3 linked regions of the Coturnix japonica genome follow. The protein of the gene in region 2 interacts with the protein of the main gene of each other region in a biochemical or structural test. Links are inferred from orthologs where the notes say so. Each region holds a gene or a part of one and is shown on either strand. Other genes may lie near its edges.

Region 1 (3,500 bases), on a different chromosome or scaffold from region 2:
TGTGCGAACAACAGCAGGGTGGTCGCTCTTCATGAACTCTTCATCCACCTGCTGGTACCTCTGCTCTCGCAGGTTACCAGAAAAACAGGAAGGTCTTGTGAGCGGAGAAAACACACAGATGTGTTTGCTTTCCCTGACTGCCAAGCTTCCTTCCCCAGGGGCTGACATCTAGCTGCATTCAGCTACCCTGACTCCACCACAGACACATCGTGAATGTTTCCTATATGAGTGATCAGCAGCACAATTCCATGGTTCCAAAGCATCAGTCAGCAACAGGCGTCTGATCTTCAGCCAGTTCTGATCTCTGCCATTGCTGACAAACCAGCTGCCTGATGAGGACAGCTGTCTCACAACATCCCCAGCATTCCCAAATCACCTCCTCTGGCCGTTTAAATGAATGTAGCTCAAATCACAGCAAAATGCTCCAGCTCAGCAGCTAATGATGATTAATCAGGGCCTCCAAAACTTCATCCAATGCCGTAAAACCAAGGTGGCATCCCTTCAAAGAGCACTGACCCTTTGCACATACCTTTCTGTAGCAATCCACCAAGAGGTTTCCCATCAGCACCACCAGCTGTGAGAAGGACGGTCTGATCTCAAACTTCTCCTCCCAGCACTTCTGCATGATTTCGTAGCTAACAAAATGGAAGAAAGGGCACGTTGGTGACTTATCAGGGAAAACTGCTCCTGTCCTTTCTGCAGAGCAGGCCCAGGGTTAACACGTGCAGGCAGCACTTACATTTCATCAGAAGCATGGGTAGGTTTGGACATCCGATAGCCACGTTTGATGGCATTGTAGAACTGTTCATTCATAGGCAGTTCAGGGTAGGGAGTCCCTCCTGGAGTAAAGGGAGAGCAGGGAATCAGGCTGATGTAGAGCCTGCCACCCCCACACCAACATGCTTTTCACACCAAGGTTTCCTCTGCTTGCTTTTTGTTTTTCAATTTACCTTTCCTGTTTCATTTGGCTTCCAAGTGGCCACGTCAGCATGGGAAAAAAGGAGACACTGAGTGAAGTGCTACTCTGATGCTGGTAGAGTTGGGACTTGGGGATTAGGATGGATTTCTACCCTCTGCATTTAGGAAAGGATCCTGCTAAAGTGCCACCATTTCTGTGGACACAACCGTGATCTCCAGGACACTTACCTAGAGTGAATATTTCCCAGAGAAGAATCCCAAAGGACCACACATCACTTAGGGTGGTGTAGAGGTTGTTGAAAATGCTCTCTGGGGCCATCCACTTAAGGGGCAAGAAGGTCTGTGAGGAAAAATTGCAATGAGAAGAGAGTTAGCTGCATCTGCAAGCAGAGAGGAGCTCTTGGAGCTGCCTGACAGCCCCAAATATCTGCTGACCAACACTTCTTGGAGGGATCCATTTTCTCTTTCTTACTGCAGGACAAACCCAGCAAGCAGGAGGGAAGAACGGGTGTGCTACATCCATTTCTATCATACAGAACAGCCTGTCTGCTATAATGAGCTGTCACAGTGTGCATCTCTGTTCCCCAGCCCTTGGGATGAGTTCACTGATTGCACAGCATGACCACAGAACTCCCAGAGGGAGTCCAGAACTATCTGCGCTCTGGAAACCTAAGGCTAAGCTGGAGTGGGCTACGGGACAACCAGGAAAGAGCAGAAGCTTCAGCTTTTCCTGTTCCTACTCACATGGCGATACACTAAAATGAGCCTCACTCAATCAGTGTGTGCAGCACTGACTGTGCTGTTCCAGAGATCCGCTTGCATAACAAATACCAAAATAATCTCCAGGAAGAACTGCAAAGAGGCCCAGTTTCATTTCTTGTTTCATAAGGAAAAGAAGCCATATCAAGGCTGGACTGGAAAATCACAGTCTCTCTGCAGAGAGGTCCCCTGGCCAATATGCTCAACATCTGGCTGCCATGCCATGCAAATGGGACAAATCAGGGGGGAAGCTGAGTAGTTCATCGAGTAGATAAAGACAGTTTTGAGGGGCCTGGCACCACTCTCAGCTCCCTCAGACTCAGTTTTCCTATCTGCCAAATGAAGCCAGTTACACATCCTGCTCTGCTTAGGCTTGTGCATCCCCAGCTCCTCAGTGCTGGAGCAGACACACTCCTGTTGAAAGCACAGGTAAGCTCAATAACAGCCCCATCCTCTCTTGCCTCAAAAGACTGGAGATGCCTTTCTGGAAAGTAGCTGCCTGCAGGAAAGCACTTCCTCTTACCCTGTGGTCTGCTGGTTACAGCAGAAGGCTGCGGACATCTTCCCAGAGTGGCCAGTGACTCACTGCACCGCTGCCAAGCTGCCTAACTTTGCATTCCTCCTGCCTGCAGCTGAGGACCAGGCTCAGCACCATGCAGACATCAAGTGCACGATGGTTGGCTGGTGATGGTTGACACCATCAGCTGGGAATGCTGCTGTGTCACCACCTCTGGGCACAGCAACAGACAGGGGGCTTGCAGGGGAGCACGGTGCCAGGCCCAGAGCCCTACAGAGAAGGGGATGATGTGGCTCCGGGTACTCACGCTGCCTTTGGAGATGTAGTTGGAATCCCTCATGATATCTCTTGCCAGACCAAAGTCACAGATCTTCACCAGCTTCCCCTCACAGATGAGGACGTTCCTGGCAGCCAGGTCACGATGCACACACTGCAGGAGGCAGGGCACTGTCATTGGGAGCAGCCCCAAATGGCACAGAGAAGAAGCCCAGCTTCAGCACTAGCCCATTTCTTTTGCTGCAGGGACAGGAGTCATCTCCTTCACCTTTATAGACCTATATAGCTCAAAGCCACTAGAAGGACTACCTTATTTTTGTTGCTTACTGAAACAGACACACTGGAAAGGGCCTTATGTTTGCCAGACACTAACAGTTAGAACAGTAATGTTACCCTATTGCAAAGTAAGATTGTGTAAATTTGGAGCTCCCCTTCTATGCTCCATGGGATAGCACTGACTGTAACTCTTGGAGATCACACTGGCTGGCTGGAGGCAAAGAGCCAGAATTTTTCTCTGCATGTCATTCATACAATCCCCACCCTGTCTCTCATCCCTGCCCTGCATGATGTTTCATTGAGAGACTATGTTACTGACTATCCTAGGCTAAGCCAGATCTTAGGAATCCCCCACAGCCTGGTCCACTCCATTGGCTTAATTACCACTGAACAAGCACTTCTTAAGAGGCTTTGGGAGCTTATAGCATGTGGGGCAATGTGAATGTCCAACGAGAGTTGCAGCTTTGCTCTGGACTGCCCTTTGTTTAGCACAGCAAGGCTATCTGTTTGCAGCCGGTCATCCCAGTAAAGGAGGGTGACGTAACACCACAGCTGTGCTGCACAGGGCTTGGGAGGAGCTCAGAGTCATGGAATCTGAGGTGTGAAACTTGGTCTGTTGGTAGCTGGCATGCAAGTACAATCACACTGATCCTCAGGGCTATATCTCCAAAGGAAAGTGGTTGGCAGCCCTTCCACTGCATGGCCACTTGTCCCTCAAGGAGGTCAGTGTGGACAGAGGGACAATGAGATGAAG
Region 2 (2,220 bases):
TCCGGGGCAGCCAACGTGGGCTGCATCCTGCCACCATCAGGGCAGGGAGGGGGCCAAGGCTGAGCCGAGGCTGGAGCAAAGTGAAGGACAACCACACACCCTCCGTTCGCTCCCTGAGCCATAAGCCCTGTCAAAGTGTAAACCACAGGGCAATAAACCCTGCCCAGCACACACCCCACAGCCACGTGCCAGCTGTGGGCCGGGCAGGAAGGCGCCGACCAACCCCCATCCCAGCACAATGGGATCCCCATGCCTGGCACCGGACCCACCTGCCAGGTGCATCTCCGAGGGCACCACCCTGCACTTCTTGAAGAACTCATCAGCCAGCACGCCCACCACCAGCAGCTTGGTCTCATCGCCGCCCGCCTTGATGGCCGCCACCACATCCGCGTGCTGTTTGCCCTCCACGGGCGTCCCATTCACCTGTGGGTGTCACGGAGATAACGGACATTCCTCAGCCCCCCGCGGATGCCCGGAGACGTGCAGGGATTAGCAGCACAACCTCATTAAAAGCAGATTTTCTCAGAGCGATTAGCACAGGGCTGCACGGGGAGCGGGGCAGTGCCAGGAGATGACGGCACAGGGCGGCTGACCCCAGCACGGCGAGCACGGGCAGCCCTGGACCCACACAGCCACCACACACCCTCACGTCTGTGCCCTCCCATCCCAGGACAGCGGTGCTGCACGGGGTGACAGGTTGATGAGCAGCACGGCTGCACCCAGGGGTGGGATGGCTCTGCTCTGAGTCACCGCCAGCACTCAGGGCAGGGGGTGCCCCAGAGGAGCAGCTCCTGGGCGCTGCCCGCCCATCCCGTATCTCAGGGACACACCATGCTGCTGGCCTCCCATTGACCCCATCACCCACCTCAACAATGCGGTCCTGGGCTCGCAGCCCCGCCGCCTCAGCCGGTGAGTCGGGGTCCACAGCACGAACATACTGCCCAGGGCGGCTCTTCTCACTGTGCAGGTTGAAGCCGTACCCGTTGGGGCCCTTCTTGATGTGGCACAGCCGGGGACGCAGCTCCTGCGAGGGGACAGTGAAGGGATGGCTGTGAGATGGCGGCTCTCAGCCCTCACCCTGCTATGGCACAGGGCTGCAGACCCATGAAATTCACAATTGTGGGCACCTCCAGCTGGGCATGGAGACCAGAACAGACCGTGAGCCCCAGCCCTGCCTGGTTAGGTGCAGAACATGGTAACTATGGTGTTCCATTACGGAAGCCTGTTATTACACACATCCTCAGATCGGGCTCTTCCTTTTGGGATTAAGATTGCCCAGTGAAGGCAGAGGAGGAAGCAGCCTGGATGGAGGGCAGGCACCCACCTTCACCCTATGCCAACAGGTCCCACCTCCTGCAGACACAAAGACCACATCATCCCCCATCTGGGGGTGGCACCAAAGGGACCCCAGGTACTCACAGAGCAGCACCCACACTGAGCAGCCCAACCTATGGCTGCAGCAAACCAGGACCTGCAGGAGCAGGGCAGCAGCACGTGGGGCGTTCACCTCCTGGTGGCACCACCCCAGCCTGACTCAGTGTCCAACTGTTCATAGTTGTAGATTCATGGGATCATTAAGGTTGGAAAAGACCACTAAGATCATCAATCCAACCCCTCCCCAGTGACCACATCCCTCAGTGCCACATCTCCACGGAGCTGAGCACCCCCAGAGGGCTCCCCTGCTCCACTGTGAGCCCCTGGGTGAAGAAATGGTTCCTGATGCCCAACCTGAGTCCCCGGCACAGTGTAAAACCATCACCTCTCATCCTACTCACATAATACATGCATAGTGATACTGTCTTGATCGTTAGCCCCCGATCAGCGGTAGGGATTTCCCAGTGACAAAAGTCACACTGGAGTTCCTAAAATATCCCTCACCACGGGGTTTCATCACTTATCCTTCCCTTCGTCTGTCCTACTTTGGTACCCAAACCATCCCTGGGGACAGGCAGGAATTCCCCTCGTGCGTGCCCTGCGCTGCTCCTTACCCACAGCACACCCACATCACACCACGAAACTCCCTTGGCCAGCAATGATCCTGGGCTGGCACCAAGGACAGACACAGGGCGCTGCCGAGGGTGACACATTGGAGCAGCCACGCAATGAGAACAGCCTGTGTGACAGCCCCACAGCTGCTATCAGCCCCGTCCCCGTTGCACAACACCGTGGGGTCAAGGCTCACCAACGCCCAGCTGGGGACCAAAGGTTACGGCAGGACGT
Region 3 (4,044 bases), on a different chromosome or scaffold from region 2:
TGCTACAAGAGACAGCAAAGCAGTGCTGTGCTTCTCTGATGCCCTGAGACTGGGGGGGATTAATATTCCCTCTCCTGAATAAAAGTGAGTTCTAGTTCTGCTCTGGAGGGTGGTGTGTGAGAGCCAACCCTGGGACTTTAAAGAGCTAAACCTTATTCGAAACAGTGAGAAATTGGAACTATTTATCACTGAGGAGTTTGGCGAATCCAAATGTAACAACACCGAGTTCTTCAGTGAATTGGCAAGAGAATGCAAAGCAAATACAACAGAGCCGTTAATACTTTTCAGTAGGAGTGATGTGATTGTTTACACAGCTCACACTCCTCAAATCTGGCTCAGTGCAGGCAATGAGTCAGCGTGACTTCGGGAGCGCAGCATGGGAAGAAAGCAGACAACCAGCTTCACCCTGACCCACAGGCTGCTGAGGGCTTAGACAGTACTGCCACTATCGGTGCCACCTTTTAAGCTCCTTGTGTTGGGCTGCAGATGCAAGGTGCTGTCTGAACAAACGTCAGGTGTTTCACTTCCATTGCCCCAGTATTTCAGCGCTTGACTGTCACACTTGTGTTAATGTGGGGACTAGGTTTTCCTCGGGTACTCAGCTGTTTGAACCTCACACAGTTTTATGAAGAAAGCAACATCTCCAACTGAAAACCTGCTGCATAATTTCATTGAAGGGCAAATGTTATACTTGAAAGAGGAGTGATGGACAATGCAGTGACTTTGATTTCCTTATAAATAGCAGTATAAACTTCAAAAATACGACATGTAAGCTGTGAGGGTGCACTGCACATTTATCATGTATTTTGGAGCAGTGCATCTTTCAGATGTTTCCCAGTTCTCATGTTTTACAAATGCTGCTCTGGAAGTGCCAGGCAGCACAGTCGCCAGTGAGCTGGGGGTTGGCCTCATCTCTCGTGTCATTAGTGATAGGACCAGAGGGAATGGTTTCAAGCTGTGGCAGGGGAGATTCAGGCTGGACATTAGGAAGTATTACTTCTCAGAAAGGGTGGTCAGGCACTGGAATGCACTGCCCAGGGAGGTGGTGGAGTCACCGACCATGGGGGTGTTCAGGAAAGACTGGATGTTGTGTTGAGGGACGTGGTTTAGTGGGAGCTATTAGTAATAGGTGAACAGGTGGACTGGATGATCTTTTAGGTCTTTTCCAACCTTGGTAATTCTGTGATTCTATGATTCTAAGTTCTGAGCACATGGCTGTCTCTCCTAACTCAGTGTTTGGGTGGAAATGCCAGAAGTCACTGTATGTGACATACAAACAGAGCATTAACTCTCAGCTTCCCACTGTAAATCCTGGCCCGTGGTGTGGTTCAGCTTTTCACACCATCCAGGCAGCAGCCGTTGTAGGACAGACACTCGTTTTTATCCATCTGTATTTTCTGTTCAGGAGCAAAAACAAGACAAAAGAAGGTATTGCTCATCATACCCGCAGTCAGCAGTAACTGTGCCTCATCCATTTCTCCTTTTTCTCTCTGGCAGGTTGGGCTGAAGTCTGTGATTGAACAGTTCCCGGGCCAGCTGGATTTTGTTCTTGTGGATGGAGGCTGTGTCCTCAGCCATGGGCACAAGCAGTTGATGTGCCTTGCCCGTTCTGTTCTCAGTAAGGCTAAAATCCTGCTGCTGGACGAGCCCAGTGCTCACCTGGACCCCATGTACGTTTTGTTCACGTGTTCTAATATGAAATCCCAAAATCGGTGAGGCAGCACCCCCTAAAGAAACCTTCAGTAACTCCTCAGGTCTTGTACTAAGCCTGATTTCAGCTTTGGGAACAGATTTCAGCTTTTCCCTTGGGGAAAAGGGATGCACTCAACGTGTCACCTTGGAGTTGTACACTTTCTGAGCTGGCTTCCAGCAGTGAGCAACTCACTTCTGCTGTGTCAGCTGCAGCTCAGCCATGCTGGCTGTCCTGCTTTGGCTGGGCTACGTGAAGGAGGGAGAGGGACACGCAGTGACGGCTGCTGGGCTGTCCTCAGGGCACTGATCATGCTTGGTCCACACAAGGTCCATGGCCTTGTGTGTGAGGGCCAGAAATCAGGCAGTATCAAATGCAGGGCTCAGAAAGTTCAGATGTTCTTCAGTCTCTGCTCAGTGCCTGCTGTAACTCACTGTTCCTTGTTGTTGTGTTACCATCACAGTGCAAGGTAACAGAAATGCTCCAGCATGGTGGGTGCTGTAACCGTTAACAAATGGGAGTAACTCCAAACCCCAAATCTTACATCAGACTGGGATTTATCACCATGAGTTCAGCACTCCAAGCTGACTTATCTCCAGCCCGGACAGCAAGAGCGTAATTTAGGTCCAGAGAATGCCTGTGCTGTGTGGCATGGTTAGAGATGGTGGTATTTCTGCATGGAGTGTCAGAGAAGTTCAGTTACACCTTCACATTGGAGCAATGAGTGCTTTCCCAGTGGAGCTGCAACATGCTGAGCACCACAGCATGCAGCTGAATGACTGGAAACCACAAATGCAGTTATGGGCTGTGAGTGCTGTGTGTTGCAGTCTGAGTGCCAATGATTATTTGCCTTGCAGAACTTCCCAGGTGATCAGGAAAACGCTGAAGCACGCATTTGCAGACTGCACTGTGATCCTTTCCGAGCACAGGCTGGAGGCCATCCTGGAGTGCCAGCGGTTCCTGGTGAGCATCTTCCCCCATCTCCTGCCCTGCTGTTTTGTTACATTTGACAAGTCTTAGGTTGCCTTGGGTTGAAAGGGACCTTGAAGACCACCAGTCCCAGCCCCCTGCCGTGCTTTACCAGGGCCAGGGCAGGAATGGCCGCACTTCTTGAGCAACAGGGGGAAAAGGTTTTCTGAGGAAATATCTGGCGGTCAGAATCGTTGATGTCATTTATAAGGACATCTGTATATTGCATTATGGTGTGAGCTGGGCTGTGAGGGGTCAGCCGGGCGGGTGTCCCGGCACCTCCTGTGGCCACCGCCCATCGGAGGGGTGCGATGTTCCCGCAGGTGATCGAGGACAACAAGATGCGGCAGTACGAGTCCATTCAGAAGCTGCTGAGCGAGAAGAGCTCGCTGCGTCAGGCCATCAGCCACGCCGACCGCCTCAAGCTGCTGCCCGCGCACCGCCGCAACTCCAGCAAGCGCAAGCCCAGGCCGCAGATCTGCGCGTTGCAGGAGGAGACGGAGGAGGAGGTGCAGGAGACGAGGCTGTGAGCAGCACCGGCACCTCCCGGCCCTAATTCACCTCCCCCCGCCATGTGGCGGTGCGGCTCGGCTCGGTACCGCCCGGAGCGGCGCTGCCCCGCTCTGCGATCCGGGCTCCGCGTTCTCCTCAGCTCGGCGGTTCACAGACTTTCAAAGCGATTTTTATACTCTTCTTGGATTGCAGTTTTATGATGAACTTTCTCCAGGATATGTTATTTATTTTAATATTGTCGCCAACGTTTGTTAAGGAAATGATGTATTTTAAAAGAAGTGATTCTGTACTATAAAGAAAAAATATATTTGTACAAAAACTTGTGTATTGGGACGGTGTTTGGCCTTGGGTGCCGCATTGCCCGCACACAAACAAGGCGCAGCTTCGGGCCGGAGCAAACAGCCCACAGCAACCTGCCGTCCCACACAGCCTGGGGCCGCTCCTACACCGACCCTATAACCGACCCTATAACCGACCCTATAACCGACCCTATAACCGACCCTATAACCGACCCTATAGCGGGTCTGCGTCCTCCCTGCGCTGCCTCCCGCCAGCAGGGGGCGCTGCGGGGCCGGCTCCGCTCCTCCCGCCCAGCCGTATCCATGTGCAGGTCCCTGTCCCTGCCTGTCAGTCTGCTTTACTTCACACACACTGGATAAAACAAACCCCTCCAATGGTTCTTTGTTACCCAAAGCACACTGCATGCAGTAAGACCAAGGAGCGGGCTGAGTCCGGCACTAATAGGAAGATTTAATTTTGCAGCCTGAGGGGAAAAAGCCAAAATGATTAAAGAGAAATTGCCCTGCAAGGATCTGCATCTCCCCTGAAGTACAGAGGAAGAGGGCAGCCAGAAATGGCTCACTCAGCACCAA

What was found.
Region 1: the proteins of SLC9A3R1 (region 2) and PDGFRB form a complex in vitro, tested with the Homo sapiens proteins (2 studies listed by BioGRID and IntAct, with this or other methods). The link is inferred for Coturnix japonica from reciprocal best matches to the Homo sapiens genes NHERF1 and PDGFRB.
Region 3: the proteins of SLC9A3R1 (region 2) and CFTR form a complex in vitro, tested with the Homo sapiens proteins (9 studies listed by BioGRID and IntAct, with this or other methods). The link is inferred for Coturnix japonica from reciprocal best matches to the Homo sapiens genes NHERF1 and CFTR.

Annotation. Positions count from the first base shown.
Region 1 is NC_029528.1:4,805,063-4,808,562, forward strand, and holds part of PDGFRB (platelet-derived growth factor receptor beta), read right to left. Parts: intron 2,625-3,500; coding exon 2,502-2,624; intron 1,259-2,501; coding exon 1,147-1,258; intron 840-1,146; coding exon 740-839; intron 636-739; coding exon 530-635; intron 61-529; coding exon 1-60. UniProt on the Homo sapiens protein: Tyrosine-protein kinase that acts as a cell-surface receptor for homodimeric PDGFB and PDGFD and for heterodimers formed by PDGFA and PDGFB, and plays an essential role in the regulation of embryonic development, cell proliferation, survival, differentiation, chemotaxis and migration.
Region 2 is NC_029533.1:9,149,675-9,151,894, reverse strand, and holds part of SLC9A3R1 (Na(+)/H(+) exchange regulatory cofactor NHE-RF1), read right to left. Parts: intron 1,025-2,220; coding exon 866-1,024; intron 424-865; coding exon 270-423; intron 1-269. UniProt on the Homo sapiens protein: Scaffold protein that connects plasma membrane proteins with members of the ezrin/moesin/radixin family and thereby helps to link them to the actin cytoskeleton and to regulate their surface expression. Necessary for recycling of internalized ADRB2.
Region 3 is NC_029516.1:22,050,258-22,054,301, reverse strand, and holds the end of CFTR (cystic fibrosis transmembrane conductance regulator), read left to right. Parts: intron 1-1,497; coding exon 1,498-1,670; intron 1,671-2,547; coding exon 2,548-2,653; intron 2,654-2,982; coding exon 2,983-3,189; 3' UTR 3,190-3,544; downstream 3,545-4,044. UniProt on the Homo sapiens protein: Epithelial ion channel that plays an important role in the regulation of epithelial ion and water transport and fluid homeostasis. Mediates the transport of chloride ions across the cell membrane.